2 linked regions of the Diceros bicornis minor genome follow. The protein of the gene in region 2 interacts with the protein of the main gene of each other region in a pairwise test. Links are inferred from orthologs where the notes say so. Each region holds a gene or a part of one and is shown on either strand. Other genes may lie near its edges.

Region 1 (7,194 bases), on a different chromosome or scaffold from region 2:
ATCACAGTTATTTTTGTTTAATCCTGAAATTTACTATTTTATCAACATCTCAGAATAGGAAAATGAGCCCACTATGGCGTGAATAACATCATGAAAACCCAACAGAAAGATGAGATGAGATGACTTCTTCACAAGACTTAATCCCAAATTTCTAAACTAATTTTGAGCCCCGCTCATTCAGACTTTCCAAGTGTTTTCCTCCCCCCAATGACACTAGCCCATATGCCTCATTCCTGGAACCCAGGAGAACACCACAGAGTTGCAAAGAGGATAAGCTAGACCGGTCAACTGATCACAGAGCAAGCTTTCTTTCTAAACAGTATTTCCTTTCAGTTGTACACAGTAAGCACAGAATATCTACAGATTGCAAAGGACTCTGTGGGCCACACCCAGAGGATCAACAAAGTCTGGTGGAAGCATAGACCTAGGCAATTCTGCTTTCATTCTCTTAAGCTGGCCCGGCCTAAGCTGGGAATTACTCACTCTGAAACTCAAGATGTCCAATTTCCCTTTGTCAATAGAGACACATCAAAGACCAACCATTTGAGTTTGGGGCGAAAGAAGAGAATCAGCTGCAGAAAGCCCATGCCAAGAAAAATCTCTGATAAGTCTAAAGTTTTCTTTGCACTTTTTGAGGCCAAACTGCAGACACTACGTTGTTCCCTTAATGTCCCAAAAGTAAATGTGTGTGCAAATGCTGGGAGTAATAGGACAGAAAAGTTAATGAGCAGAGCCCTTGGAATCACGAGAGTACTTGAAGGAAGAGAAAGGAAAAGGTTTATGTAAAGGATATGTGGGAAAATAGGGAGGTGAGAAATTACAATGTCTGAAAGATGCAATATCATATGTTCCTGGCAGAAGAGTTAGAAAAAGAAAATAAATTTAAGTTCATCTGGTATCTACTAGGTGTCTATAATGTGTCAAGAACTATGCTAAATGTTGTGAAAGATAAAGGGAGGAAGGTTTATTTATATTTAGGTCCTCAGTAGGCAGTATAAGGACTGGATGGATGGATGGATGGATGGATGGATGGATGGATGGATGAGAGAGGGAGAGAATGAGGTGGTCACAGCCAGGATTCTACAGGCTATACCAGACCAGGAACATCTATACATGTAACTCTCATCCTAGTCAAACCGTGGTTTCATCAATGTATAAAGTGTTTTCCTGAATATGGGACAAGAAGCTATTAACTGAAAGAGAGTGACTGAAAGAGATATCTGGAAATTAAGGGAGAAGGGGGTGCCAGAATGGAAGAGGAGGATCCTAGTTCCCATCCATGGATGCCCCCAGGTTCTTTGTGGAAGGGGAGGGGGTTGTCAGCCTCTGGGGAGCCCACTGTCTGGGCTTCTACTGACCTGGTCTCCGCCTCACTGGCCTCTTGCGGCCGCTGCAGAAGCGCACTTTGCTGAATACCCCGAGGACGTGCCTCTCGCACAGGGAGCGCCCGTCTTTGCTGGGGCTGGAGCGGCGCTTGGAGGCCGATACCCGGTCGCTGTTGGACTCCCTCGCCTGTCGCTTCTGCCGGATCAAGGAGCTGGCTATCGCCGCAGCCATAGCTGCTCAGCGCGGGCCCCAGGCCCCGGGTTCCACTGCGCCCTCGGGATCGCGCTCCGCCGGGGCGAGGGCAGGACCTCGGCGGCCGGGAGGGACAGGGCAGATGCGGGGAGGCAGTGCTAATATTTGAGGAGGCTGCAGTACCGAAAACCTGGCGCCCAGAAGGTTAGTCAGAGTCTGGGCAGTGGCGACAAAATGTGTGAAATTCCAGATGTAAACTTCCCAACCGCTGGCGGCGGGGGCGGGGCGGTCCCAGGCCTTCCTGTTAACTAGTCTCTTGCACCCCAAACTTGCATTCCAAGGCGATCCGCGTCCAAGAGGCAGTGGGGTGTTTGGTCACACTGCGATCGGAGTACCAAGTGGAAGGGGAAGAAGGATGTCCAAAACAACAAGCCGTGCCCCGGTTGGAGAGGCGCAAGCGTTGCAAGGTGTCCAAAGTATATCTACACATACATACATATAAAACCCGTTTACAAAGCAGAGTCTGGACCGAGGCGGGTAGCGTGACCCCGGTAGAAAATACTAAAAAGTGAATAAAACGTTCCTTTAGAAAACAAGCCACCAACCGCAAGAGAGAAGGAGAGGAAGGCAGCAATTTAACTCCCTGCGGCCCGCAGTTCTGGAGATTAGGAGGTTAGTCCCGGCTGGGTAAGGTCTACGGAATGCATCGCACCGGCTGCGGGTCTCCAGGGGCTGGCCGCCCGAGTTCTGGAATTCCGAGAGGCGCGAAGTGGGAGCGGTTAGCCGGAGTCGGGGTAGGGGCGCGGGGCGGGGGCAGCTGTTTCCAGCTGCGGTGCGCGCGACTCCCCGCCGGCAGCGCTGCGAAGAGAGCGGGAGGCGAGGGAGGGGGGAGGGAAGGAGGGACGGGCAAGGAAGGAGGGAGGGAGGGAGGGAGATCCTCGAGGGCCAAGCACCCCTCGGGGAGAAACCCGTGAGAGGCGAGCGCCGGGGATACGTGGGGTCCCAAGAGCGGGCGCTCTTTCTCTTTCCGCTTGCTTTCTGGCACAAGACGGCACAGTTGGTGATTATTTAGGGAATCCTAAATCTGGAATGACTCAGTAGTTTAAATAAGCCCCCTCAAAAGGCAGCGATGCCGAAGGTGTCCTCTCCAGCTCGGCGCCCACACGCCCTTAACTGGAGCTCCCGGCCATGGTCCGCCCGGGCCGCCACACAGAGCCAGTCTCCGCACAGGCTCAGAGGGAGCGAGGAAAGGAGGGAAGGAGGGGGTGCCCTGGCGGGCTCGGGATCAGGTCATCGCCGCGCTGCCCGGGCTCCCCAGGCTCGCGCGGCCCGGCAGTCGGCAGCTCACAGGCAGCAGATCAGATGAGGATCACCGGCCGGACGCGAGGCCGATCACTCGGTCCCGCGCGGCCCATCCCGGCGGAGGAAGGAAGTGACCGGCGCGCTGCGAACCCCCGCGGGTCGGCTCGGGTGGGGCGGGGGCTGGTTGCGGGCGACGTCGGCTCGAGGCGGCTGCGGCTCCGGGCAGAGGCTGCCCACCATGGTCTGGCGCCGGGGGAACAGGCGGGGCCCCTAGGCCCCCGGCGGCGACGGCAGGAGGCAGCCGAACGCACAACCGGGGCCCTCGGGGCCGGACGCAGGCTCTGGGGCCGGAGCCAGGAAGCAGGTGCGGGCTGCCGCCAACTCGCCCAACTTGCTGCGCGGGTGGCCGCTCAGAGCCGCGGACTAGCCGGGCGCCCCCAGCCGCCCCGGAGGGAGCGCTCAGGGCAGAGTCCCATTCATAAGCTGAGGCTCTGGGCGCGCCGAGCTGCCGCCGCCTGGCCGGCTCGCTCGGCTGGAGCGCTAGCTCCGCAGGAAACTCCTGGCAGGGAAGACCGCCACCGAGGCGGCGGGTGGGACGAAGAGCCGGCGGCCGCGGAGTACCTCCCGCACTGCTCGCCCACCCGCCCGGGAGCTCCAGAGCGCCCAGGTGCGGCCAGGCGGGGGGCCGGGCTCCCGGAGCGCAGAGAAGCGCAGCGCGCGCGGGTCTTCCTCCCCTCCCTCACGCCCTCTGCTCCCAGACTCTTCTCCTCCCTCCCTCCCTCCCGTCACCCCTCTCCCCCTTCTCTGTCTTCTGTCTCTCCCCTTTTCTCCTCTCTACGCAATCCTACGTGATTGAGGTTTGGATGAGAAATTCTCAGAGGCAGAGCAAGGGAACTGCAGCTCGGGTCCGCTCCGTCCCGTCCCTCCCCCAAGAGAAAACCACCAGCCAGGCGGTTAAAGGACCCTGGGTGCACAGAGAAGGCGGGGCGCAAAGAAAGGGTTAGCGGTGGGGGACCTGCGAGAAAGCGGTCCACCCTCCCGCCGGCAAGCTGGGGCACACAGAATTCTCTGTTTAGGAAGGCGGGCAGTGGACCCTGGAGAAAGTAACAATGCCCTCATGTTGGGCCCCATTGTCAGCTCATTTTGGAACCGGAAAAGGTGTTTCTGCATCCTTGGAACTCAGATTTCTTGGTTCTATCCAGAAAGCTGCAAAGCAGACTCAATCACTAAAATGAGGGACCAAGTGAGCACCCTGCACAGAGAGGAGAATGGAGGTGGGGTAAGAGGGTGACTGTGGGCAAGGGCAGTCAACAACCAGCTTTGGAGTGCAATCAGGTCTCCAGGAGTGCTTGTGATGACAGCTGGATGTTACAGAGAACTCAGCAGAGGAGATAATGTCACCCAAGTTAAAATGCAGCATGAAAGATTCTGGAAACCTAAAAGGAGTAATCACTTTCCAGTCATGCTAAGGTCTGGAAGTGGCTATTAGTTATACTCACCATCTCTCTTCAACTTGTCTGCAAATCCGTTCCCTTCACAGACACCTGGCTAAGCATCAAGGGTAGTGCCAAAAGATTAAATGCTTCATTTCCAAGCAGAGACAGGTGTATGCTGGAAACACCCTAATAAAGATCATGGAACATGCAGGCCCTGGAAGCTGCTGAAAATGGATGTGGGACCTGGAGAAGCCCCAGGAATTCTCTAGACGTGGGCACAAACCTGTGGGCCTAGCAGAAATTCACTTAGGCAATGAGAAGGATGAAGACCTGTGAGGTTGTTTAGATCAAGCAGTGTCAAACAACCCTACTGTGTCTGGGGGCCTGGACCTTTCCTGCTCCTCCTGGCATAACACAGGCAGACAGGGGCTTATGGGGCAGACAGATGGGAGGAGGATTAAACAGGCAAGGTGCCCTGACAGGGGAGAGCACACATCTCCTGCACCAGTTCAGTGTAGCTGAATGACAGTGAACTTGGGATTCTAACAATACAGAACAAGACAGGTGAAAAAGATACACATACACACATACATACACACTCCTCCAAAAGTGAAGCCAGCTGCATACATTTTCAAAAGTGCATCTGGATGGGGCAAGGAGAATTACTTCAAATCAATTGGTAACACTGTCAATTAGGGAAATGTTCACATTCCACAGATAAAATTATTTTCCTTGCTTGGCTACCAGAAGACTTGTCTCATTCTTGAGGAAGGCGGGCACAGACAGTACTGGCTGGCTTTTGGGGCTCCTTCCCTTTTTCAGTCCAACACTCAAAAAGACAAAGGTCAGCTAAGGTGAGGAACCCAGAGAAATGGGCAGGAGGGAGGGTGTATAGTGAGGCCCTGAGGAAATCATTGCTAAATTTGAGCCTCTTATCCTCAAAATGGGGATAATCAGTCCCATCTACCTCACAGAACTGAATATGTATGTGCAAGCATTTGGAGAACTGGAAAATGCCAAATGAGTAAAAGAGATGATGACAGTGTTTACTTTCTTTTTAAGAAAATGCATGATATTCTTCTGAAATGCTTTTTGAAAAGGCAGATTCCTGATGGTTTCTCAGAACGTGAAGCAGAAATCTCTATGAGTAGAGTGCAGGAATTTGAGTTTTTAACAAGTTCTTCAGGTGTCAAAGTTTGAATGTTTTATATATATATAAACATTTATATAAACAAATATAAAATTTTTATAGATATATAAACATTACCTACATTATATGTGTAGATATATAATGTAGATAACACTAGAAGGGAGAAATAAATTCAAAACTCTCAAAATCTAGCACATTTCTCCAACATTACAGTCTTGTGCCCAAAAAAAAGGCCTGGAAAGAGAATGTGTGTTCTCTGATCTTTGAGTGTGTTGACTTTTTTCTGTGGGTTTATGAGAAATGAAGATGTTTTGATGCAGAAGGTAACTAACCAATGTAGCAGCATAGGATAGAAGGTGACGGAGAACACAAGAAAAAGAAGATAGCAGTTACTGTTTGAAGTACTCTTCTCTGTCTTGGCATGACAGCATCAAGTTAGGCATTTAAGGAACAAAACGAAAACAATAAATGTCAGCTTTCTGAGAGTAATGTTATTCCTGTCTTTAGATCTCTATTAAAAGAATGTGGTGTATTCAATTCAATTAGACAATAAAGACCTTATTTTTTCCCTTGCACTCCTGCAGCTTTTGTCAGAGTGCATTTTAGCTGTTTATCCCTTTAAGTCATCATCAGCATCATTTACTCCATTTCAACAATGAGAAGAAGAGGTAAGTATAGGAAAATTTGAGAAATTATGTAGGACCTATGGACATGGCTGTTGAGATCAGAAGCAATACTAAATTTTTTGATATCCAGAAATTCATAACTTTCCTACCTCGCCACTAAATCTCATAAGTCTTCCTCCATGTTTACTAGGACACTTCCAGTATCTTTGCATTTTGCAGTCAGGAATGAGATTAAATCAACCTACTGATGATTTAGGTAAAACAATCAGGTTATTTTAAACAGCAACATCTCATGGATAACGATACCTTGATTTTTAGGCTATTGACAACTTGAGAATTTCCCTTTATAATTCTGAAGACATTATGAGTGGAAGCAGTTTTAATTACTTTGGATGAAGTTGCCAGATACACACTGAAAAGATAATTATATAGTTATATTTATATTTCTGACCTCCAGTCAAACAAACAAAACATGGACAGTCTTAATAATCTTCATATTTTAGAAAGAAAAAATACAGAACATTTAATAGTCTTTCCTTATTCATAGGCCAAGTCTCCCAACTCCCAAATCAAACTATTAGAACTCTCGCAGCCATTCATCTGACAGCTTGAATTGAGCACAGATTGCATCCAAGGCTCTCTTTCGGTTACCAAGGGGAACTCTATACACCTTTACATTCTCCCTGCCCTCAACAAGCTTACAGTTCATGCCATCATGGTCTTATTTGGCTCTTGTCTTAATCACTCACCAGCCGTATGCTACTGGACAAGTTATTTAATCTCTCTAAACCACATCTGCAAAATGGATCAATGGTAATGATTAGCAGTCCTAATCCACCTGGGCTGCTGCGGGGCTCAAAGAAGATGTGATAATAATGTAAAGTATTAGAATGAGCATGCTGTCATTAAAATATCCATTTAAATCAAGTCCCTGCTATAAAATTCAGACTTTCCAAAACAGGAAAACATACCTTGTGATTCATACACATCATCATTCACTCCTGGACATAATGTATTTAACGAAGGCTGGAAGTCTACTTGAAATGAATGATTAACCTTGACATTGTAATGGCAAACAAAATTTTCATTAGTTGAATGTTGTCAATGTCCTTGTCTGTTGGGAACACAAAGGAGCCTGGCTCTGCTCATACATCATCCTGCT
Region 2 (6,922 bases):
GCCACCTGTCCATACTCTTGGGCACGCGCGCGCACATACACGCGCGCGTTCTCAGTATTCACCCAAAAATAGTAGAAATGACGTTCAAAACCCAAACACACACCCATGTACCCCGTGCAAAGAATGGCAGATAAACACGGAAAAGAGTTTCTGGCTAGGTCGGGATAGGACCTTTGCTGGGTTGGAGTTTGAGTCTTTTTCGTCTTACAGCCTTCTAGGGGCACTAGCCAAGAGTCTTCTTCCATGGAAGAAGTAGCTAAGGGCTTTTTCACCCCGGTTTCCTTCTGGTCTCGTCCTACCCCTCTTTCCTTCCCATCTCAGTTTCCTTAGCTCTACTAGGACAGACAATCTAAAAGAGTAAAACTCCTTTCCTTCTCCCGGTCGTTAAACTTATTTGGAGGGTACCGAAGTCGCCGCGCATTCGCGCGGAGTTCCCACGCGCCCGCTTCTGGTCTCCAACTTTCCCTACTCGCTTTCTCCCGGCATCTCTGAACTTTTCCCTCTGCGGAGAATGGTGGGGCAAGGCGGAACTGGGAAAGCGGGTGGAATGATCATTTCTACCCCGAAACTGACAAGTTACCCCACTCCCGCCCCCTCTTGGTAGATCCTCCCCCAGTGAGCGTTCATTAGCATAAAACTGGTCTGGCCGGGCTCCCGGTCCTGCGGCCTCCAGGGTTCGCGCGCTTTGCGAGGCTGGGGAAGCTACGGCACCGGGTATTCAGGTCCGCAGAGCATCCCAGTGCAAAGCCTGCGCCTGCTCACTGCGTGCGCTACTAACCTTTAAAGAAAAAGAAAAGAAAAGAAAGAAAGAAAAGAAAAAAAAACAGTTTGGTGGGAGAGAGAGCGAGCGAGGTGTGTTCTTCTTCCCCATCTTTGCAGTTCAGCTTCCAAGAGTCAGGCACCCGGTCACCTCCCCCTACAGAAGGAAACCTGCTAGTCCCCTCTCGAATCTGCCCTGGGGCAAATGTGCCCCTTTATCTCCTTTGCACACGCACACGCTCACACGCGGACACAAGCACACATGCGCGCACACACAGACCCCTCCCCTCGGCGGGCTTTCTCTCGGGGCTTCGGGGCTGAACTGGCTGCGGGTCCCCCGGGATTGCCCCAGGCCTCTCAGCCTCTGAGGTCGTTCCCCTCTCGACCTGGAAGCGGCCCACTCCTTAGGCTTCCTCGCGGGCCCCTCACCCGAGAGCGTCTTGGCGCTCCCCGAACCCTGCCGGGCAGGGTCACGACCTCTCCCCGCCCCCGGGACGCCGCTCGGCGCCGCCAACCAGCCCCGCCGGTGCCCTGCGGCTCGCGGTGGAACCCGGGTCCGAGGGAGCGCACACGCGGGCAGCAGCGCTGCGAGGGGTCCCCAGACGCTGGCGCGGCCCAGGAAGGGGGCTGTGGCTCCCGTTAAGGCACCGTGCTCCTCCTTCCCGCCCCCTCCGCCCCGAGGCTTGGGGTTCCCGCGTCCCACAGCAGCCAAGCCCCCGCGCCCAGGCGAGCAAGGGGCGGATCAGGCCGGAAGAGCGGGATCTGGGCAGGGTGAGGTGCCAACTTCCTAGACGGTCGAGAGCGGCTGGAGAGCCCGGAGGAAAGGGAGGAGAGGGCCGCTTTCGCCGGGGCGCGCGGCTCGCGGGCGCGCGGAGCAAGCGGCGCCGGGAAGGGAGCGAGGAGAGGGCAAGGAGGCATGTGGGAAGGGACCCAGGGTGGCGGAGGCTGTCCTCCGCTCTTTACCTTGCGTTGGTGCAGTCATTGTAGAGGGTCTCGAAGTCCTTCCTGGAGATGAGTTTGCAGCGGTTCACTCCAGGCTGGATGGCGCCCAGTCCCCTCAGGATGCGAACCTGTTCCACATTGCACACTACGGGCGTGATCTCCAGCCGCTTCAGCTTGGTGTAGACCGTGTGCAAGCCCCCCACCAAGTGCTTCAGGAACAGGTCGAAAGCCTGGGGCAGGCAGATCAGCTCGCAGCCCTCCACCGTGAAGGAAGCCACTTTGGCCCCCCTCAGATCCACCATTTTGCACTCATTATTCTGGGGGGTGTTTTCCACTGGGGACGGGGTCGAGTACACGGGTTTCCCGGGGAGGGGGCCGCAGCTGCTGCTGCTGCTGCTACTGCTGCTGCTACTGCTGCTGCTGCTGCTGCTGCTGCTGCTACTGCTGCCGCTGCTGCCGGTGCTCGCGTTGATGGGGGTGCTGGAGGCGCCGCCGCCGCCGCCGCCGCTCGCGGGCACCAGGCTGGGGTTGCAGTTGCTGCTGCCGCCGCCGCCGCCACCGCCGCCTCCGTTGCCCGCGCTGCCGCCGCCGCCTCCGCTGCCGCCGCCGCCGCCGCCGCCGCCGGTGGAGGTGACTGTGGCCGCCGCCGCCGCCGCCGCCGGAGCGATGGGCTCCGGCCGGAACAGAGTTGGCCCTGAGGACGCCGGGGGCCCGATGGACGGAGCCGGAGACGAGGTCGCCGAAGAGGTGGAGGTGGTGGTGCCGGAGGAGGAAGCAGACGTGGAGATCGGGGGTTGAGGGGGGACCAGCTGGGTCGGAGGGATCAAAGCCGCCGGCACTGCCATGGTCACATATAAGGGGAAACAGAAGGAGGAGAAGCGAGGGGAAAAGTTGCCACACACCCCGGGGAGGGGAAGGGGGAAAATAGGGGGAGAAGGAGCTAGGGGACAACAACAACAACAACTCCGGGAGAGAACGAGAAGGAGCAAGAGAGAGAAGGGGGAAAAAGGAGGTGAGGGTAAGAGAGAGAGAGCGCAGGAGGGGCGAGCGCGAGAGGCGCTCTGGAGAGAAACGCACAAAAGTGTCCCGCAAGTCGAAATGCGAGTCCTCTCCGGGGGCTGGGATCGGGGGCTGGTTTGGGGGGGGGGGGGGCGGGGGCGGGGAGGGTCGGCTGTTGTTGTGTGGGTCCCGCTCTAGCACAAAGTTAAGGATGAAGGTGAAAAGGAGGAGGTTTGAAGGACTTGGGTTCTCCCTGGCAAGTACATTGATCAAAGATTGAGAGGGGAATGACAGAGAGAAAATGAGCTGAAAAGTGCAGGCTGCCGGCTGGACGAGTTGTTGTTGTCACACGGTGCAGAGGGGAGGAGCTCCGGAAACTTGAAATACCCTTTGAAGCCGCAGAAACCTCACTCACTAGTATTAACCCAAATTATCCAACCAGGAACTCGGAGCAGAGACTCCGAGAGCGCGAGACAGAGGAAAAGCGAGTGAGCAAGGAAAGGAGGAGGGGTGGGGGAGGATAAGGAAAGAAACTATGGGAGGGACGGAAAGGAAAAGCCGGGGACACAGAAGTGGCGATCGGAAAAGGAGAGGGCGATCTATTTCTCTTCTACTACCGTTAGATTGCATGTCTAATAATTCCATTTCGTCCGCGACGACTCGTCATTTTTTCCAAAACCTTCTAAGCAATCGCCTGCCAACTTAAAGAGGAGCCAGAGCGCTCCGAGGTCTCCTTCAAGGATTTAGGATGTATCTCCGCTCGTTTTTTCCAATGAGATATCAATGAAAACATCCCCTCACTTCATAATTATTAAGAAAGTATTTTGAGGAAAATTCACATGTAAGCAAAGCGTTTGTTTTATGCATCTGATTGTTTTTATCTACCTATTAAATTATTTATTTTTATATAGATAGTGAAAATTCCAGGACAGTTTTCAAGTTGTGGGGAAAAAGTCAGTTTGAAACCGCTTAAATATAGTGGAATGCTCTGTATTTAGTTCGTTATTTCCTGAGAGATTATGGAAAGAAAGAATTGCTTGCCCTGATGTGGATCGCTCACAATAACTTCACTTGTGCCCCAAAGGCTGGTCAGAAATGCTTATTATACCAATACCAGACTTTGAAGAGACCAGGCACCCTTGAAGATTTAGAAAGTGGAAAACAAGAAAACACTGATTTTTCTTACTGAAAACTCGATAATTAATTCACCTGTCTTGCACAGTAACCAACTATCTTCACGTCCTTTAAGACCCAAGGCTAGCTGCTAGTGTTACATGAATAACAATATTTTTTTCATGTTTGAAAAGTATCAATATTTTGGGAAAGTTCTTTTCGATTTGTCAGTGAAAATGTGTTTTGCAAATAATGAAGAAAACAAAGCTGGCTAGCTGACCACAAACAGCGCAGCTCTGCTTCAATACCACACCAGGCTGAATGGAAACTGCCTCTCTTCCTCTTGGCCTTGCTCTCTTCTTTTCTTCCCTTTTCTAACTTGTTGCATGGAGGTATTTATTCAAGGATCTTTGACCAATATATGATTTGAACATAGATCAAGTCTGTTCTCTGTTTATAGCTCTAGGAATCTTAAATAATTAGGCTTTAAACCTGTCTACACATGTTCATTAACTTCACAAGAGAGAAACAATGCTTTAGCACTTGACAGATTTCGAAAATAAACTATTAACATCAGGTTCACAGTGTTGGGAAATTTCATAATGAAGTTTCTGCCATTTTGATGTCGAGATTATTATCATATTTCTCTTTATTATTTTAATTCTTTCAACTTTTTGAAGTTTGATGTCAAAAGGTGCAGGGAATGTCTACAGAGAAATAGGACACTTTTGACTAATTTGTGTAAGTTTCTGCTAAACTTTTTGGGGCATAGCAGTCATATCAGGAGGCCTCAGAATTCAGAAATTTGAATTCAGAAAATTGATTTTGCTAAAAAGTAGATAAACTTTTACAAAGATAACTAAACTTTACACAGTTGTTTGGCCTAGTTACCCAATGTATTTTAATATATTCAGAAGTAAGTTATATTAACTTCTCACTCCTCATATCTGTCCGCAATTAAAAATAGGAATTTGATATATATTCCATACATCAAAACACGTCTTTTAAGTGTTTATACGTGTTTTGGAAAATATTACCTTTTTTAAAAATGCCAAATTACTATGTTAATGAGCAGAAGACAGGAAGAAGATATTAAGCCCTGAAAAACTAATCTTCTTTTGGAATTGCATGCACAACTTTAATAAACTCCGATATAGTTTTTAAAACGCTAAACTACAGTTTCTTCATTTTAAATTCTAGACCCACAAATGAAAAAATCGAATTTAAATGCTGAAAATCTGCCCTTAGCATTCTCATTTCTCACATTTCCTTAAACTGTCACTCAGCCTGTACCTGCCACATTTGGAAGCCACAAACAGGGAGTAATGATAGCTCACTAAACCATAATCCCACCCTGCGTCCAAGCAAACTCCGAATTTTCTGCTGGGAACCCTGCGCCTCCCAGCACGTGCTCCATTCAGAAGCAGGGCTCGGGGTGTCTGCCCCCACCTGAATGGAAGCTTCCCTCCCCCTGCGCCCCCCCACCTCAGGTCTCTAAACCGTCTCTAGGAACTACCACTTACCCCTTTAACAAACAATAGGATTAGAAAAAGCATATAATGCAAATTAAAACACGTAGGAAAGAAAAGCCTCAAAAAATTTTTAAGATTTCTTTCTTCCTTTTTTTTTTTTTTTTGAGAAATGTTACCAGTGATTAAGGCAAACAGTATTTAACAACCACAGATAAATCAACTAGAGACATTTCAAATTCTCACTGTTTCCATTGCATCTTTAGCTTTCAAAGCTTTTGTCTTGTTTGTTTATTGTTTTTACATTTCTGGTTGTTTCAGGTCCTCTCCCTCCACCTCATCTTCTCCAACCTGCACTCAATTTGCATAAGCAAAACTCAAAGTACTGTAACTGATATTAGAAAATTCTCCCTGTGTTTTGTGAAGACGTATTGTGCTGAAATCAATAAGACTGTTTAAAATTCAAAGACCTGCAAATCGTTCTGTTTGTCCTTTGATAGGGCCTGTGCTGATTAAAATGCTACCAAGAAAGCTTAATTGCTGCACTAATTAAGAAGTCTTTAATTTCTTTCCTAGGATATCGTTTGAAGCTGAGCTTGTACCAGTTCAGGGAAGGTATTTTCTTCCCTCCCTCTGCCTCCTCCGGGCCCCTCCTCTCCCCTCCCCGCCCCCCTCCTCCCGTGTCCCCGACGGTATTCCTATGAATGGGAACTAATAGAGAGAGTGGACTCAGGTCTCACCATCTATTAGCAAAAATCGGCCCAGGATACAGAATTCAGTGCACTATGAAATGCAGTTTTGAAAAGTGCTGTAAGGTTGCATGAGACAGTAAGAAAATAGAGAGTAGCTGTTGCAGCAAAAGTCCCAGTGAATACCTGGATGACAACAGGCACTTTAGCCCGAAGATGAGGGCATCCTGTTTGGTTAAAAGGGGCAGTGACAAGGAAATGCTTTTACTGAAACAGGGAAACGTAAAAGTTATGCTTTCAAAACCTGTGGTTTCAAAACGAAGAATAGATTGTAGAAAGGTGGACTTATAGTTGGGATTTGGTAAGGATCATTTTATTTTATGTGTATAAAAACATGAATTCTATGGGGATTTATTTTTGACCCTTTTTATAACCCAGGGAGGCACAGCACTGTGTTACATCCATTCCATCCTTATCTATTGACCTATTTTTATTCACCGATTTCTCAAGTGGGGAAACTGACTAAATGATTTCACAAAGCTTTCTCTGTAATCAATAGTCATTTTTTAGCTTTATTCATGCTGCATTATAATTCTGGTAAATGACTGCAAAGCAGAAGATTGTAAGAAAGATACAAATATTGACAAAGCCAGGATAAGTCATGTCTTTAAGTCTTCAGAGTTTCAATACAGCAATTGATATAGTTATTTGAAAGAAAGATTGAAAATGCGTATTTCATAGAATATAAAAAACTAAAATGATTCAGTAACTTAAAGGCAATAGCTATCTGAATGTGTTTCTTGAATATCTTGAAATTTCCTGAAAGCTTTGAGTATCCTCTTTTTATAGCATCACTAAGTGAAACAGAAACAATTTGGGCAGATGCAGAAAGGGCAACAAGAAAAGGTTCATTACAATTTTATTCTTTTAATTTTTTCCCAAGTTCTATTA

The links.
Region 1: the proteins of DACH1 (region 2) and FGF12 interact in binary tests that used the Homo sapiens proteins (3 or more experiments, as listed by UniProt). The two-hybrid records come from large-scale screens. The link is inferred for Diceros bicornis minor from reciprocal best matches to the Homo sapiens genes DACH1 and FGF12.

What each region holds. Positions count from the first base shown.
Region 1 is NC_080754.1:32,517,044-32,524,237, reverse strand, and holds the start of FGF12 (fibroblast growth factor 12), read right to left. Parts: upstream 3,038-7,194; 5' UTR 1,558-3,037; coding exon 1,359-1,557; intron 1-1,358. UniProt on the Homo sapiens protein: Involved in nervous system development and function. Involved in the positive regulation of voltage-gated sodium channel activity. Promotes neuronal excitability by elevating the voltage dependence of neuronal sodium channel SCN8A fast inactivation.
Region 2 is NC_080748.1:52,105,647-52,112,568, forward strand, and holds the start of DACH1 (dachshund homolog 1), read right to left. Parts: upstream 3,068-6,922; 5' UTR 2,547-3,067; coding exon 1,723-2,546; intron 1-1,722. UniProt on the Homo sapiens protein: Transcription factor that is involved in regulation of organogenesis. Seems to be a regulator of SIX1, SIX6 and probably SIX5.